Linked DNA regions of Nothobranchius furzeri. The protein of the gene in region 2 interacts with the protein of the main gene of each other region in a pairwise test. Links are inferred from orthologs where the notes say so. Each region holds a gene or a part of one and is shown on either strand. Other genes may lie near its edges.

What was found.
Region 1: the proteins of alpha-1,6-mannosylglycoprotein 6-beta-N-acetylglucosaminyltransferase B (region 2) and hoxa1a interact in a two-hybrid assay, tested with the Homo sapiens proteins (2 studies listed by BioGRID). The two-hybrid records come from large-scale screens. The link is inferred for Nothobranchius furzeri from reciprocal best matches to the Homo sapiens genes MGAT5B and HOXA1.
Region 3: the proteins of alpha-1,6-mannosylglycoprotein 6-beta-N-acetylglucosaminyltransferase B (region 2) and pitx1 interact in a two-hybrid assay, tested with the Homo sapiens proteins (2 studies listed by BioGRID). The link is inferred for Nothobranchius furzeri from reciprocal best matches to the Homo sapiens genes MGAT5B and PITX1.
Region 4: the proteins of alpha-1,6-mannosylglycoprotein 6-beta-N-acetylglucosaminyltransferase B (region 2) and dmrt3a interact in a two-hybrid assay, tested with the Homo sapiens proteins (2 studies listed by BioGRID). The two-hybrid records come from large-scale screens. The link is inferred for Nothobranchius furzeri from reciprocal best matches to the Homo sapiens genes MGAT5B and DMRT3.

What each region holds. Positions count from the first base shown.
Region 1 is NC_091751.1:29,552,070-29,556,225, reverse strand, and holds the start of hoxa1a (homeobox protein Hox-A1a), read left to right. Parts: upstream 1-1,310; 5' UTR 1,311-2,478; coding exon 2,479-3,079; intron 3,080-3,437; coding exon 3,438-3,817; 3' UTR 3,818-4,156. UniProt on the Homo sapiens protein: Sequence-specific transcription factor. Regulates multiple developmental processes including brainstem, inner and outer ear, abducens nerve and cardiovascular development and morphogenesis as well as cognition and behavior.
Region 2 is NC_091752.1:49,891,997-49,896,084, reverse strand, and holds the start of alpha-1,6-mannosylglycoprotein 6-beta-N-acetylglucosaminyltransferase B, read right to left. Parts: upstream 2,804-4,088; 5' UTR 2,403-2,803; coding exon 2,335-2,402; intron 1,450-2,334; coding exon 1,337-1,449; intron 1-1,336. UniProt on the Homo sapiens protein: Glycosyltransferase that acts on alpha-linked mannose of N-glycans and O-mannosyl glycans.
Region 3 is NC_091750.1:54,396,659-54,400,891, reverse strand, and holds the start of pitx1 (pituitary homeobox 1), read right to left. Parts: upstream 2,835-4,233; 5' UTR 2,689-2,834; intron 2,042-2,688; 5' UTR 2,033-2,041; coding exon 1,987-2,032; intron 1-1,986. UniProt on the Homo sapiens protein: Sequence-specific transcription factor that binds gene promoters and activates their transcription. May play a role in the development of anterior structures, and in particular, the brain and facies and in specifying the identity or structure of hindlimb.
Region 4 is NC_091750.1:37,736,838-37,741,128, reverse strand, and holds dmrt3a (doublesex- and mab-3-related transcription factor 3a), read right to left. Parts: upstream 2,814-4,291; 5' UTR 2,697-2,813; coding exon 2,265-2,696; intron 1,210-2,264; coding exon of another isoform or gene 1,187-1,209; coding exon 224-1,186; 3' UTR 98-223; downstream 1-97. UniProt on the Homo sapiens protein: Probable transcription factor that plays a role in configuring the spinal circuits controlling stride in vertebrates.

The DNA.
Region 1 (4,156 bases), on a different chromosome or scaffold from region 2:
TAAATCACTCCGTGGCATGAATGAGGCGGACATTAAAGAGAGCAATTGTGGCGTAATGTGCACAAATAAAAACCCCACTTACGTTTTCATGCGGGACTCCCCGATTCCTAAGCTAAAAGGGGCCGAGCTCTCTGCGTGCGTTTGGTAATAATTCATTTTTATGGCTTGTTTAACACGCGGCTCTGACTCGGAGACAGCAGCAGCAGCAGCTCAGGTTAAAGCTGCTCTTATTTAGCGTCGCTTCTCCACTCACACTGGTGGAATCTGTGATTTTTTTTATTTAAAGACAAGACTGGTTTGTGTGCGTTTCAAACCCCTCACTTCAATAAAGGGATTATGAACATTTTAGCACTCTTGCGCAGCTTTGATTGGATTTATGGGAACTCAATAATCCAGTTTAACTCAGAATCACTAAAAAACACCAGTTGAGATGAAAGCTGCAGTGATTTTTCAAAACGTGTCAAACTTAGCCGAAAGCAGAAAATCAGCTCTAACTTTGGCTGTGTGCGTGTGTGGGTGTGTGTGTGTGCGCGCGCGCGCGCGTGTGTTCAGATGAGGGGGTGGTAGGAGGAAGCAGGGGGCAGATGCTGCTCTCCTGCACTACGGGCCTGCATAACCAAATCATTCCGAGACAGCGCGCCTTTTCTGCGCCCCCGCGGCCACACAAAGAGCCGCGGAATCTCCGCGGGGCCCGGCTGGCCTCAAGCAGCAGAGACGCGATGGATCCTCCGCGCCCACTCACTACAGAGGCAGCTGCTGGAGAGGGGTGGGGGTGGAATGGAAACCAGTTCGTCTCTCTCTCTCTCTCTCTCTCTCTCTCTCTCTCTCTCTCTCTCTCTCTCTCTCTCTCTCTCTCTCTCTCTCTCTCTCTCTCTCTCTCTCTCTCTCTCTCTCTCTCTCTCTCTCTCTCCCTCCCTCTGCTATGTAGTTTGCAACAAGTCTTTGAACATTTTCACATCTAATTTTGTTTTTCTAACATCCTAAAACATTACATTTAAGACAAAGTAGAACTACATTTGACTAATGGAAAAAAGCTGCACATTTGAATGTTGCTAATATTTTACTGATACTGCTTGTTTGAGTACCAGTGAGACAACTTAGACGTTTGTAGGAAAAATAAATAGAGTGTAAAATCTGAATCACGCTTTTCTGAGCTGAATTAATCTACTTAATAACAGAAGCACGTTTATTTAAGTGCATGTCTATCTTCAGCCTGAGGGGGCGCTCATCCCTCCATCTGATCCTTCCCTTCGCCCTCCCTCCCTCCCTCTCCTCTATTCCTTCCTCGGTTAGAGGTTGGGCATCTGCTACAACCCCCTCACTCCCCTCCGCTCTCGCGCCTCCCGTGACCATTCGTTTTCCCAGCAGCTTTATTTGATGAACTTAACAGGATAATCAGCCCACTCGCACCTCGGGCTACATATGCGCATTAGCAGGCTTCGCATTATTATATCATTTGATCACCATACATGCATAATGAATACATGCGGGACTGGAACTCTGGTAGATGGCTGACCTATGACCCGAGAACGGAACAAAACATTAATATCACATCACCTTAATGGTTTTGTCTCCTAATCACGTTTGTGCGCTACTTCAGGCACATTTTAAACGTAATTTGAGCTTTTTGCGCATCCTTTTGCGGTGTTTTATGAATATATGACCGGATCATCTCTCCTCGTAACGTGAAATGCACAAACCTGCTCCTGCTGCGACCTTAAGAGGAAACGAAATTCTGCTGGAAGGTGGCTTGGTGCGATGGGATGGATGTATTTAACAGGGGAAACACGTCCTCTCCATCACATTGTAACAATATTTGCCCAGAAAATCCCTTAATGTTCCAGCGTGAAACATTTCACATCGGAATGGGACATTAATAGCCTAAAGATAGCCCGCGGCTGCAGCGAGCGCGCGCACTCTCAGCCATCCATCCTTCCTGGACAGAATGACACATGCGACACCAGGGCTTATACGCACGGAGACGCCAACACACGCGCGCACGCACACAGACTCACACTTCTCTGTTCTAAAAATACCTGAGGTCAGAGTGCAGAGCGGTCCACCTTGGATGACATCTCTCCTCAGTGTGAGATTGCGCAGCAGGGGGGTTAAAAGACACCGGGTTCACCGTCTCAGCAGCTCCTCGTGTGTCCCGGAGCTGTCCACCTCCGTCTGCCTCCCAGCCCATTGTTTGCTCGGCCAATACATTAGTGGCGACGCGCGTCACCTTGATCGACGAGCGCCTGGAATTTAAATAGCCCCTCAAACACCAATCTGTCACCGGCTAAAGGGACAAGGACCCTCACTGGCTGACCCGTGCCCACGTGACAGTGCCCGTTCATTGATATCCCCAGCACCCCCCTCCCTGCACTGATAGGGACAGAAAGGTAAAGGTTGGCACGGTCACTTTAGGGTGAGAGTGTGGAGAGATCAGAGGGGGAGAGGACAGTCTCCTGGTCCCAGACTAACGATGCTACAATGAGCAGCTTCCTAGATTACTCGGTGATGAGCGGTGAGGGTGGCTCATGTTCGATCAGGGCTTTCCACTCGGACCACGGGATTACAACTTTCCAGTCCTGCGGGGCTGCAATCAGCAGCTGCGGGGCGGATGAGCACTTCATGGCAAACAGGACTTCCCCTGACAGCATCCCTCACCAGCCGGCCTCTTACCAGCCTACTGCCACCTCTATGGGTCTCTCCTATGGGGCCCACCCGGCCTGTGGCTCTAACTATGGGCCCCAAAGTTTCTGCGCCACGTACAACCACTACACACTCAACCAGGAAGTAGACTCTGCACCTGCATTCCCCCAGTGCAGCCCTTTGATGTTTTCAGGTAACATCTCTTCCTCCATGGTGTCTCAGCATCGCCATGGCTACAGTGCTGCCACCTTGGGCCAGCTGCAGTATGCTGCTTATGGCGGGGGTCATGAACAGGCACCTTCTTATCCTGGGGCCTCCAACCCGCTGTCACCTCTGCATGCAGCTCACCTGGAAGCTTGCTGCTCACCTCTGTCAGAGAGCGCATCTTCTGCGCAGACTTTCGACTGGATGAAAGTCAAAAGAAATCCACCGAAAACAGGTGGGTGCAGAGCTGTACCAGCACGAGGGAGATAGGTGGGAATCTAGTCTGTTGCTATTATTGGTTTTAATTGGTTTTAATCGGTCAAGCAGACTGGAATCCACACAGGAGATGTTGACACTGCGAGCGCGTTGACGCGCAAACGCATTAAATGTCCATGTTTCCACTTCAAGCGTGCGCCCCTTTCTTTTAAAAGTTGGTTTAAAGACATTTGTCTTTAACTATAGAGTGTGTTTTATATGTAAAATAATTAGGTTTTCTTTGCCTGCTGCGTAAAAGTTGGTTCTTTTGGATAATCGCACAGTTTGTGCGTCCTTTGGGTGAGAAAATAAACTTGAATCCCTCTTCCTGTCCCCAGGTCGCTCCGGCGAGTACGGCTATGCGGGCCAGCCAAACATCGTCCGGACCAACTTCACCACCAAGCAGCTGACAGAGCTGGAAAAAGAATTCCACTTCAACAAATACCTGACCCGGGCGCGCCGAGTGGAGATTGCTGCTGCGCTGCAGCTGAATGAGACTCAGGTGAAGATTTGGTTTCAGAATCGGAGGATGAAGCAGAAAAAGCGCGAGAAAGAGGGGATGCTGCCGGCTAAGGTCCAGTCATCGCACCCGGAAGAAATAAATCAAGAGAAATTAGACGATGCCGCTTCTGAGAGGTCCGTCTCAGCGCCGTCCACGCCCTCTCCCAGCTCATCCACGGTGTCCTCCACTGGCACGGACACGTACACCTCTACCTGAGCAGCCTATCTGGGCCACACGGGCCTGTAAATACCAACGTTTAAATGTATCAAAACCAGAGTCTTTGTTCGTGAATGACATTGTGTGAACATTTATTAAAGTTAGTCCTCCATCCGGGAGCTTTTGGATCACCCTGGAGCTTTAGGTTTAAATTGTGCAATGTGTCTGCAAGAACATCTCTGTATCTTCAGATAAGTTTGATCTGTAACGTGAGCAAAAAAAGGCAGACACGAGTCTGCAAACGAAAACAAATGTAAAGTGGTGTATCCGGGTCATGGCGGGTATGCAGCGCAGGGTGCTGTTAAGTGAGCAACGCAATGACCTAGTACGCGCGCGTGT
Region 2 (4,088 bases):
ATAGAGCATGCAATATCAGAGTTAGAGAGTCTCCAAAAGCAAAACAGCTCGGGTCACTTTTGTTTGATTATGGAGACAACGCAGACTTTGCCCCGCCCACATGCTCAGTGTTGCGCTGATGACATCACAGACCAAAGACCGCCCACGTTCTCAATTTTGTCTGCATTCCTAAGGCAGTGTGGAAGGAACGCGGCCGGGCCAGGGTGGACGCGGCAGAGAGGAGCGGAGTGGAGCTGATAAGTGTGAGTGTGTAAGTGCTAATAGTTTCCAAAATCTGTCCAAATCTGTTAGTGAGCACTTCTCCTTTGCCAAGATGATCCATCCCACCTAACAGATGAGTTTTCCACAGGTGTGCCTGTATGTTTAAAAAAAAAAAAAGCTCAAATAAAGAGTTTCCCAAGTCTGACCCGGGGCACTCGTATATTTGGTTCTAAATTGAATGTCGGATGTTTTTCTGGCCTGCCAGACTCGCCCTGTCTACTTTACACAGAGGATGTTTGCTTTCCATAAGGAAGCATTGGCATGGCTGGCCAGGCTATGGTGGATTGTCCCGTTGCCGGATTTCTGTAGTGGTGCATATGTCTGACATTCCGATTAATCCCAACATGTTTGATTGCGCATGGAGACAGTCTGAAAGACAACTGTGGATTCCTCCACTACAACTGAGCTCTGTGTCTGGGTCGGGCTACATTTCTACATATAAAGGGTTTTCTAGCACAAACGGCATGTTTAAGATCAAAGGTCAGGCTTGGACCTTCATAATTTTCCAGTGAAGAGCAGAAGTCATGAATTCATCGGTTACATCAAGTGGTCTGAAACGGCCCCAGACCACCAGCATGTCTGATTGCTGGTGTGATGCTTTTTCTGAAATGCTGTTTTAGTTTTACTTGAAATGTAATAAAACACACACCTCCCAGGAAATAAGACTTTCACTCTCTATTCCACTAAACCTTCTCCCTCAACGCTTTAGGAGATCATCAAGATTTATTTCGCTAAATGAGTTTTTGTGTTGTCTTTGCTCATCGTTGTCTGATACTGAAATCTGCATTTGAATTTGTTTCAAACGACCAACACTTCATCGCCGCCTTTTGATTATTAAAGATCAATCTGACTTTCCGTAAAACTGCGATTCATTTTTGCCAAAAATAAATCTATGTGGGTCAGAGTTTGGTCAGATGAGAAGACAGGATTCTCCCCCTCCGAGTTCTCCTGATGAAGGGGGTGAGCGGGTCCCCTGGCAGCAATCAAGCCAGCCCCACGGATCTCTGAGCGTGTTTCCAGCCTGCTCATTACCAGTGCAGGACACATCCGCTGGAGTCACTCATGTGAGACTTACCTTCAGCTCGCATGGTGAACGGCGAGTCTCCGGGTCGCTTGGCCAAGAACTGGCCCCCGAGAGAGGTCATTAGAAAGCACAGGCTGAAGAAGCCAACCCCCGCTACAAAGATCCTGCAGGAAAAAGGAGAAATTAGCTTCAAAGGGGGCAAATTACATGGTTAGAGCTCAGGGAATACAAGCAGCTAAAACAAAAGATAGGGTAGTAATTTCAAGCCCATATGGATGGGGGAGGATTTATAAAGCATGGACAAGTTCCTCAAATGACAGAATGTGCTTAGTTGATTTCAAACGAACCGTGTTTCTACGTTCCACGGTACTCAGTGGGTGCAAACAGCCAAAATAAACGCACTCATCCACAGACGAATGGAAGCTGCAAACATAAGCTGCGCTGTAAATATGTCTCCAGTGCTGTGGAATGATTTTCCTCACTTCGACTCGTCTGAAGGCAGTCGTGCTGAGTGGAGCTGGAGGACAGGCTGTCACACTCGGGTTTAAAACACATTCTTCTATCATGTTTTTATTTATGATCCTTCGCTGCAGCCTGATAATGATAATGGTGGAAAACAAGTCTCAGGTTGCTCACCATGATTGTACAGCTAGAGACAGAAGGGCTGATTATTAAATATGCAAATCTCCCAAGTTTGGAGCATCTTGAGCGCTTTGATGAGGTGACTGTTTACTTGGCTCACACCGTTTGAGCTGAGTAAGCAAAGCTTTAATTGTGGATCAGCCTGGAGTTTCTGTCCAAATTAAGTGGACCGAGCATGCAGAATTGGCTGAATTCATTTTTTTAATTCATGCATTTTGCAATGCTTGCTGCAGTTTTTGCACAATGAGATTAAAATTATTATTTGATATGAAATTGCAGCATCTGCAGATCTTAAGGTCGGTTTTCCGCACAAGTTATAGACAGATGCAGCAAATGCAAAGGTGGAATAAAGTTTGATTCAGCGAAAATGCACCAGGTTGGTCCGTGCAGATGTGCGGCGCTCTCACCTGAACGGCTTGAAAGTGACAGGGCATCTCCTCACCATCATGGAAAGCTCACCGATGGCCGCAATCATTTTCCGCACGCAAACACAGCGCCAGTTCTCTCTAACATCGCGCTCATTTGCGCGAATGATCGCGTGGAAAGCGGTGGTGGATGTAGGTGGAGACGCGCAACTTCTGACTGATGTCCGCGGCGCGCTACCGCTGCTGCTGGGAGCAACTTCAGCGGAATCCTGGCTCCTGCAGACAGACAGCAGGTGGACAAGTGCACTGGTACCAGCAGGAGGAGGTTTCACGACCCAGTCCTGGAGGAAGCCTCTAATAAGGCTGGGAAATGTTCTGGGATTTCAGCAGCAGCAGAAAACCAAAGATGTTGAGTTGATTGGATCCTCGGAGTGGAGCTGACTTCGGTCTGAGCGCAGCTGCGGCTTGTTTACTCACAGCGCCATCTAAAGATCCATCCTGGAGCGCAAAGCGCTGATTCCTCCTGTCATCCTGACGCAAACACGTCATGGAGGAAGGAACAGGGAAATTATTACCAAGGGAATAACATCTGCGCTGCAATCAGTCCACTATAAGGACAGATTCAAATACTTAGATATATAGCATTCCGTATATTATATAATATAAGAAAAAAGGAAATTATTTCCTCATCAATAATGATTTACTTCCTAAAAGTTCAGGTATGGGGAGCCGAATGTAAAACAGCAGTTAAAATCCAATGTTTAGAATTCAATCAGATTATTATAAGTAAAATAAACAACATATAAGATCCAACCAAGTCCAGATATATACATTCATGTCTAAGTTATTAAAATTAAATCTAAATTTTGAAAGTTTACTCTAAATGTTAAGAGTCAAATAAAAAATTAAAAGAAGAAGAACAACAACAAAGGCTTTTATAAAGCGCCTTTCCTAACTGGTCTTCCCCAAAAAGCTGTGAAGCAACTGCAGCTTGTTCAGAATGCTGCTGCTAGAGTCTTCACAAGAACTAAGAGAACGGAGCACATCACTCTCTACACTGGTTACCAGTAAACTACAGAATAGACTTCAAAGTGATCCTACTAGTTTATCAGTGGCATGGGACCAAAATACATGTCCGATCTCATTCCTGGATATACACCCAACAGGGCTCGGAGATAAACAGTCAGCTGGTAGAACCTCAGGTCAGAACAAAACATGGTGGAGATGCATTTAGTTACTATGCTGCTCGCATATGGAATCAGCGTCTCCGTGACTCAGATCTGCCCCAACCCTAGTGTTGTTTAAATCAAAAACCCTAATGTACTGACCAGCCTTTAAATGAATAGTTTCTTATATATCTTCACTGAAACCTGCCTTGTAACGTTGTCTTCTCCTTTAGCTCTAAACTGTGTGTATTTCAATTTGTGTTTTTATGTTGTTTTCACATTATGTCCTGATAATTGTAAAGCACATTGAACTGCCTTTGCGTTTGAAATGTGCTCTATAAATAAAGTAGTCTTGTCTTGCCTTTCAAAATAAAATTCACAAACGTGGTAAATTTATCACATTTTAAATAATTTAAAATTGTAAAACGATTTATAAAATAAAATAAAACAATTCTAGCAACATTAAAATAAAGATTCAAATATAAAAACGAAAGTGAAAACAGAAAGGAGGCCAAAAATACACAGAAATAATAGAAACACCCAGGTACCAATTCCCCCTTAATACATGGGATAAAATCTAAAAAAAATCTAAATAGTAGCTTCCCTTCAGGAAAGGAAAATAGGTTTATA
Region 3 (4,233 bases), on a different chromosome or scaffold from region 2:
TAAATGAGGTTAGTTTGGTGCGTCTGCTGCCTAACCGGGGCGCTGGTTCGGGTAAAATCAAGTCTGGACCACGCAGCGTCTCCGGCGCCACTGCCGACCATTGTATGACTGACTTCTGACATAAGATCCCCGTCCAACCAGGAAACACCCCCGAAGGCCCTATACCAAACAATTGTGAAAGCTCTCAGCAATCGCTTGGCTTTTGCCATCTGCTCTTCATCCTCTCCACACGCTGCGTGTTTTAGTGACAGGAACGCATCCGATCTGAGGGCCTGTGCTGGCCTGCCGGAGGAATACTCTCAAATAAGATCTGGTGATTTTGGAATTTAGGGTGAATTTCACTTCAGTGGTTTGGGAAGTTTAAAACTAAAGATGGTTTATTTATTTATTTAAAATAGTTTGGTATATAAAGATGTGTCAGCACGCAAACAAACACCACTGCGTCTGTGCGTAAATGTTTTTTCATCTCTGATGTATTTTGCACAGGAACTCAAAAGCTTCATCTGGACGCAGCATTGTCACGTGACCAATAATAGATGTAATTATCACCGACTGTTTGCATGCGAAATGATTATAAGGTTCAGCCTATGTTGGTCCCTTAGAAAAATGCCCCATTAAGCACTGGGCGAATTAAAAAATATATTGGATGCAGTCCAGTCTCATCCAACATCCTACTCATCAAACGCGATAGGTTGCACAAACGGAGATGTGTCAGTAATTCATATATGTTAATTATCATAAATCACGCAAGATTTTGCGGCATTTCGTGAAATCAGCGTTATTTTCATCATCTGGCCTCTCATTTAAAGAAGAATCCAAAATTGCATCAACATACATGCACGTTAGAATTTTGGAAGTCTACATTTATGCAGATCAGTTGAAATCTGCGTAAACCCAACGACCCCTCTGGTCCGCTTTGGAGTATTATGGGATTTACTGCGCTTGGGAGTCTCGCCACCTCAGCTCCAGAGATCTCTGAGCTTCATACGGCTGTGTGATAAATGGTGTTAATCTAAATACCCAGCCTCCATCCCTGCCCGCGTCCTTCTCCGTTCTGGAGGGCACTTGCGTGTGATGGATGAGTTAAAAAGTCTTTCCATCCGGCAGGACAGGTTAAAGGCCAGCGACAGCGCAAACACTCATGTTTTTCTCTCTAAGAAGTCAAAATAAACCCTGCGAACGCTGTTCATCACATAAAATTACAGTATTTGTGTTTTATTTCTCCGCACAGCAAAGGGGAGCGCGCAAGAGAAAACAAAGCAGCAAAAAACTGGAAGGCAGCGGAGATGTAACTGGAGACGGTGCGTAACTGGAGAAGGACAGAGCAGATTATTGCCTTGGTGATGTTTTCCCTGCTCGGGTCTAAAAGGCCTGTTTGACCCGCAGTGTGACTACCAGCCTAAACCCACAAAGAGACAGTCTGAGTAATTAAAACAGCTGCTAATTGGCAAAACTCATTCTCAATTTAGAAAAACATGTCAGCATTCCCAATGAACCCAATAAATTACTTATAAATCATTTAAACGTTCTCTAAAGTTTCTACAATCATGATTAAAATAAAATAACTGTACTTCTCTTGGTGACAACTCCAATTTTACGCACTGTTGCATTTTTTAGAATTTTTTTTCTAAACTGACAAAATATACCAGCGTATTACACAATTTAAATGTCCAAACCCTCTTAAATTGCGCACGAGTTTACATTTGTTAATGTTTTTTTAATCTTTAATTGTTTTTGTTAAACTCTGAAATCTTAAAGTTTGGTTAGTTGAAAATATTTTAATTAAAGACAATGTTTACATAAAACAGTTCCTAGATAATTCCAAAAGAGGGTATTTTTTCTCGTTTTTTAAAAAACCGGACAGAAAATTAATTTGCATCTCCCAGTTCCACATTTCATAGCTCCCTGAGCAAAGCAGCTTTTTGAGCGTAAAAGATGGAGAAATCTCTAATTCACAAACATTTTAAACCTGCAGCATCCTCTTACCTGGGTCCCCACAGGAAATCACATTCTTGGACAAATTCAGTTCCATTCCAGTTACCTGAAAAACAAAACCAGAGGACAAAACATATTAACTTTATTTATTAATGTCATTTTAAGTTGAACCAACACGCTGGTGTATCACTGCTGATTTCTTGTCATTTTTCCAATCCTCAAACATGGTTTTACAAGGAAATGTGAAAGAACAACTTTGAAGGAACCAAGCGAAAATCAGCCAATATTTACAGAGCAGCAGCTCCACCTGACAGCCTGCCACTGAATGCTTTTCTATCATTCATTCATTCATTCATTCATTCATTCATTCATTCATCTCGTGTTTTGGGCCCAACAGTAACATCACTGACCTAGAGACAGTTTACTTTCGCCCCTAACACCACACACACATATGCACGCACGCACGCGCATCCACAGATGCAGGAATATATTTGCTGTTCGTGTCCTCTCTATCTCCCATCACCAGCGCTGATCTGAACGCAGATGCGTGTTCTCTATAAAACGGTTATTTTAGCTTAATCCTCTCCTGCCTCTTTGACCTCCAACCAGATAGGAACACGCGCAGTTTACACTGATCACAGCGGCATGAATTGTCGCATTTATAGCTCTTCGTGAGCCCGGTGCGTAAAAACGCTACTAATTGAGCTGTTAAGTCTCCAATCGCCTAAAATCACACGCACGTGTTTTTCTCACCAGTTGTTTCCCAGCAGACGAAAGAGTAAAAGTAAAAACGCCTCACGGTGTCCCATGCAGGTGTCCCAGTAAATCCAGTTTAGCGTTGCCTGTGCGTAAACGCTGCGTCCTCGGTGATCGGCGCTTTGGTTAGCTCCGAGTTGTTGCCTTGGTTTTCTTCTTTGGCTCTCTACTGCACAGCCCCAACGTGACGTCACACATCCCTCCCTAGTCTCCCACCCCGTCACCTTCTTCATCCTCCCGCATCTTCGGTATGACCGAGTCTTCACAGCTTTATTCGGCATCGATTTCCCACTTTTTTTCATTTTCGTCATTTATTTCATTAGGATTTAAAACAGTTTTTCGATTGCAAAATGTTTGAAACCTGATTTCTGTATTTTAGCGGTTGCTTCAATTTAAATATTATAATTATTGTTATTACTGATAAATGTAGCAGATGAAAACACAACTTGAAGAAGGTAAAAAGATCTAATCGAAAATAATAATAATAATAATAATAATAATAATAATAAGTGAAGGTCGAATATCTGAAAAAAGTATTTTTTAACTTTATTTTAAAATTACTTTTTATTGTTTTCATCTCCAAACAGGAAATAATCATTCCTAATCCATATGGATTCTGACTCATATGTTTAGCTACATTTATTTATTTAAATCACATATATTACATTTTATTTTATTTTAGCTACTGAATCTTTAACGTTGCTCAGATTACACCCGTTAACAGTTTTTGAGTTACTTAAACAGACAAAAATATTTTATTTAACTTTTAATCTCCGATCAAAAGTTTATTTTAATACAAAATAAGTGTATAATGTAGGTTAAAGCGACGCTCCGAAAAATCATAGAAATCAATTAAAGCTGGTAATTAGGTTAATGTTTTCCGTGTGTGTTTGTATGTGTGAGTGTGTGTGTGTATGTGTATGTGTGAGTGTGTGTATCCGAGCAGAGGATGTAGGTCAGGTAGGCGGCCGAGCAGATTAAAGTATTCAAAACCCTTTATGAGTTTTCATTATTAGAATAAAAACATTGATTTACTTAGAAGCGTTTGAATCCGTTTTGGATCAATAATTCCAGCTTTAGCTTCACGTGCGCAGCTTCCTCTGACCAGAAACTTTACAGAAAGTGTGAAATTTGTTTGATCCCGTTTTCTTTTTTAATGCAGCCAAGAGCTGCGCACAAAGCAAAGCTCCGCTCTGAGACAGAAGGATTAAAGAGGAGTTGCGGGCCTCCATCAGACCTCCTTCAGGCTCCTTCTCGGCTCCTCTCACGTTAGCAGCTGTTCTGCCCAGTTTCTAACACCAGCTCCCCATTAACGAGACAATTTGGACACTTTAAGATTTAAGACCATCCAAGTAAATTTTTTTCAAATGTTCTTTTTTTTGGGGGGGACTAAAGTTATAAAGTGAACTTTACTAAGTGAACACTATTAGTTTGAAAACTTACAAGATTGATGAGCTAACAGCTAGTCCAATTTTTTCCCATTACACCCCTCCTGCCTGGAACTTTGTTTTCGCGCCTCTCTAAAACAAGATTTTTGCTTAT
Region 4 (4,291 bases), on a different chromosome or scaffold from region 2:
CACAAACACGTCCAGGCCGAACCCTCAATAATTTATTCAACAACACATGAAAACAATCGGTTCCGGTCCATTTCGGGTTATTTTGGCTCATTCCACATGCACAGTGAAAACATGCAGGCGGTCCGGTGGCTGACGTCATCACCCCCGGACCTGGTTCTGATTGTTTGACACACAGAAAAACACGCACAGGTCCATTTCCGGTTCTGCTCGGTCCCGGAAGGTTTCAGGTGGATGAGTTCAGGATGCGGGAGTCCGCGGAGTCCGAGCGCTCCTCGTACTCCTCATCCGGGGAGTAGAGGCCCGGTTTGGGCCCCAGGGAGCAGGCCTCCTCCTGGATGCTGATGCGCTGCTCCTCGGAGGTTCTGGAGGAGACCAGCGGAGAGCCGCGGAACACGGACGTCCCGGAACCGGCGGGGGCGGCCGGTGTGAAGGGAGACACGTACTGGGTGGACCGGAGCTGGTACTGGTGCTGCAGGGCCACCGTGTTCCAAAGGGTCACGTCGTTGTGCACGAACGGGCTGGTCTGGCTGCGGGTCAGAGAGTTCCGCAGCATCAGCGGGTACCGAGCGGGCTGCGGGAAGGACGGGTGCTGCAGCGGGACGCCCAGCGGGCCGGTGGGCACGGAGGAATCCGACGCGAACCGGAGCGAGTCCGGGACCCGGAAGGCGGAGCCCACGGACCACTTGGCGGAGGAGGACACCGGGTGGTAGGAGCCCAGGGGTTCGAACAGGTGTCCGTTAGAGGGCAGAACCAGGCCGTCCGGGAGCGGATCCGTGTGCGCGTGCGCGCTCCCATCGGGGTTCCGGCTGGACAGCAGCACCTCGATGGCCCCCACCAGGTCCCCCCCACAGCCCCGCAGGATGAGCTCCAGCACCGGGGGCTTGTGGGACGGGAAGATCTTCTTCAGAACCTCCAGGGGGGGCCTGTTGGTTCGGAGGCTGAAGGGCCCGGGCCCGCAGAGACCCTCCACCTGCTCTCCGGGGGGGACCCTCTGGGGACTCTCGGCCTTCACCTCCTTCTCGGAGCCTCCGGCTTTGGAGAGGCTGTAGCGGGTCTCCTCTGGGTGGGGGGCGGGTTCTGAGGGTTCGGGGGTGTAACAGGAGTTCGGTTTGGATCCTTCAGGGGAGCTGACCGGGTCCTGCTCCTTCTCACTAGAGCTGCCTCCGTTCTCTCCTCCCGAGCCCTCCTCCGGACCGTCCTCCGCGGGCTCTGCAACGCAAGCATCAGAACTTAGCTCAATGGTTCTGGTCCAGTTCGGTTAGACTTTAATGGACCACACAGTCTTGGTTCTGTTCATCTGCAGAACCTCAAGTAGATATATATTTTTTGTCCAATTAGCAAATTAATTAACTGAAGTTCTGTGTTCCGGTACCATTTATCTGGATTCGGTCCGCTTCTGCAGCAGGTCGAGTCCAAATCAGAGTTTTAACCAAACTCACGAACTTTCAAAGGAAGAAGGTGAATTAAAAACAAAATTTAAAAATTCTAAAAAAATAAAACATTTTATTTGTTTAATAAAAATCTAAATAAACAAATAAATCCAAAACTAAAATAAAAAAGGAATTTTAATAAAACTCGAGGATGTTTACTCACAAACATGTCATAAAATGGCATTTTACCCACAAAACAAACATTTCTGATCAAAAACAACCAAAACTAATAATATGATTAAATTAAGAAAAGGATCTGAAATAAAACAAATTTAGTAAATTCTTTACTTGTTTTTTACCAACTGTTTTTTAAACGTGTTTATTGAAAATGTTCAGATTTATTCATAATGAACCCTTTGATGCATAATGGCCACTACAGTGGACAGGTTGGTATTTACTTGTTTAAGCAGCTGTTGAAGACTTTGTTGCATTTGAGCCCCTCCATTTGGACTTCAGTAGGGCAAGCCAACATGTTCAGAATGCAAGCTGTCCACTAAGGTGGAAATGTAATGTTATTTGTACATTATTAAATGTTACAAATAAAATGTTGTTGAAATTTGTTTCATTCACACCTAAAGATGAATGAAAAAATAGTTTAAAAATCATGGTTGAAGATTTCATAATTCATGCATCAAAGGGTTGATGATTACATCACGATTCCAGATAATAGTTTAGTCTTTTTAACATTTTAAATGTTTTAATAAATAAAAGCTGCAGACAATCATCTGTTTATTCTATAAAAGTTTGATCCTTGAACAAAAACGTATGTAAACTCTGATGTTTCAGTTACAGACTAAAATTCTGCAGTTCGGACTCGTTCCGGTCTGAACGAACCTTTCGGTTCGGTTCGGTTCTGCCTCTCCTACCTGTGCGTGTTTGCGCTCCGGCCTGCAGCGGTTCCGAGCCGCTCCACCGCAGCTCCAGCTCCTCTGTCCTCGGCGGGGCCCCCTGGCTCGCCTCGCCTGCCCCGCTCATGCCCATGCCGGGCAGCACTCTGAGGGACTCCGGGATGAGGCTCTCCAGGCTCTCGTTGGCCTGCTGCCTCCGCAGCGCCACCTGCGCCGCCATCACGCGCTGCCGCTCGATGATCAGGATGCACTTCTCGCAGGTGCAGTCCTTGAAGCGACAGTAGCGCTTGTGACCTTTGAGCCACGAGAGCACGCCGTGGTTCCGGCAGCGCGCGCACTTGGGGGTCCTCTGCAGCGGGGCCCGGGGCTGGGACACCGGGGCCCCCATGTAGAGGTAGGGGGACCCGTAGCCGTTCATCCTGTGGGTCGCAGCGAGTTCTCCGGGAGGACGCAGAACATGTGAGGAGGAGCTCAGACACGCGGAGGAGCAGGATGGAGCTCCGCTGCTGCACGCATGACAGGAGGAGGTGTTGGCTTGGGGTGGAGGGTCCAGCTGATAAGGATCCGGCGGACACGCTCCTCTGGAGACGAGTAACCAAACGCGTCAACGCGCTGCAAAAGGTGTCAGCGCGAGGCAGAAAAAAAGGGGGCTCGCGCCCCGTTTCCGGTCTGAGATCCGGTTAACGGGAACAAACAACCTTACATCAGACGTTAATTGTTTGTCTGAAACAGAAAGTTTGTGAAATTTCACCAAAAAAACAACAACAAAAAAACTAAAAATCAACTAAATAAAAACTGGAAACAAATAATTTTACCTAAAATAAGAAAATGTAAAAAAACTAAAACCGGAAATGTTTTTATTATTAAATAAATCATAAATATTTTTGATGATTTAGCCCAAAAATGAGAGATTATTTAACCCTTTGATGTCCATAAAAACTTTTCTCCCTAATTATTTTATTATGTCCCCAACACCGACATTAATGATAAGCTAATAAATATAAATATTAATAACATTATTATTTTTTTATTAACTACAACAATAATAATAATAATACATATTTAAAGTTTAATCCAACCATGTTTCATCTCAGTTTCAGATGAGGGGTCTAAAATCTGCTCTTTCAAAGGTCAAAGGTTAAAGCCATCACCTGTAAAGATCCGATCTCTGCAGCTAAAGACTAAACGCTGATGCCTGATTAGCTCTCTGTGGGTCTGAGGGCCCCTCTGGGGCCCGTGTGGAGCCCGCTGACGAGTCCCCTCTGCCGGACTAATAGAGGGCATTGAAACATAACACCGGACAAAGCCGGGGCTCATTTCTGACCGTAAAAAAGGTTTATTCAAGCAAATAATGGGATCGGAGCGGCGCGGTGTGGCTTCTGCTGAATAGGAGCCGGTAAACTTCCCGCCTGGATCCCGTCTGCGGGACTATTAAGCTTTTAATTGGAAAACAGCAGAAGGAATCTCAAGGTGACTAGAGGCTCCGCAGTTTGTGCCGGACCAGTAGATTTGTGGGAGTGGGAGGCTGCAGGTGGACGCATAATAAATTTATTCATGTTGTTCTTGGATAAAGAGGAAAAACACAAACCCAGATAAAAGTTTACACCGCACCGTTGGAGCAGCAGAACCCGGACCGGGCCGGGCCGCTTCCCGGTTCTAATTACATGCTGCTGCAGCACTCGTGTTTTATGCTCCGCTGTGTAAAACACAACAGAGGTTTGTACTCCGGCTGCGTTTTAGGATGATTTAAAATAAAAACGGGAACATGGAAAAAATAAACAAATAAAAGCGGAATTATGGATAAAGAAATATCTAAAAAACAAATAAATAAAACTTAATCCTTTAAATTCCTAAAAGTATCTGCGCTCCGGTGTAGACTCGGGACCCGGCTGATACCAGTCAGCACCGGCCGATTTAAAGCAGGCACATCCTGGGCAGCCCGCTGCTGTTGCTGATCGAGTTCCTGAAAAACCTCAGCTTTATAAATGCTCTAAATGAAGGTCAGCTGACCCG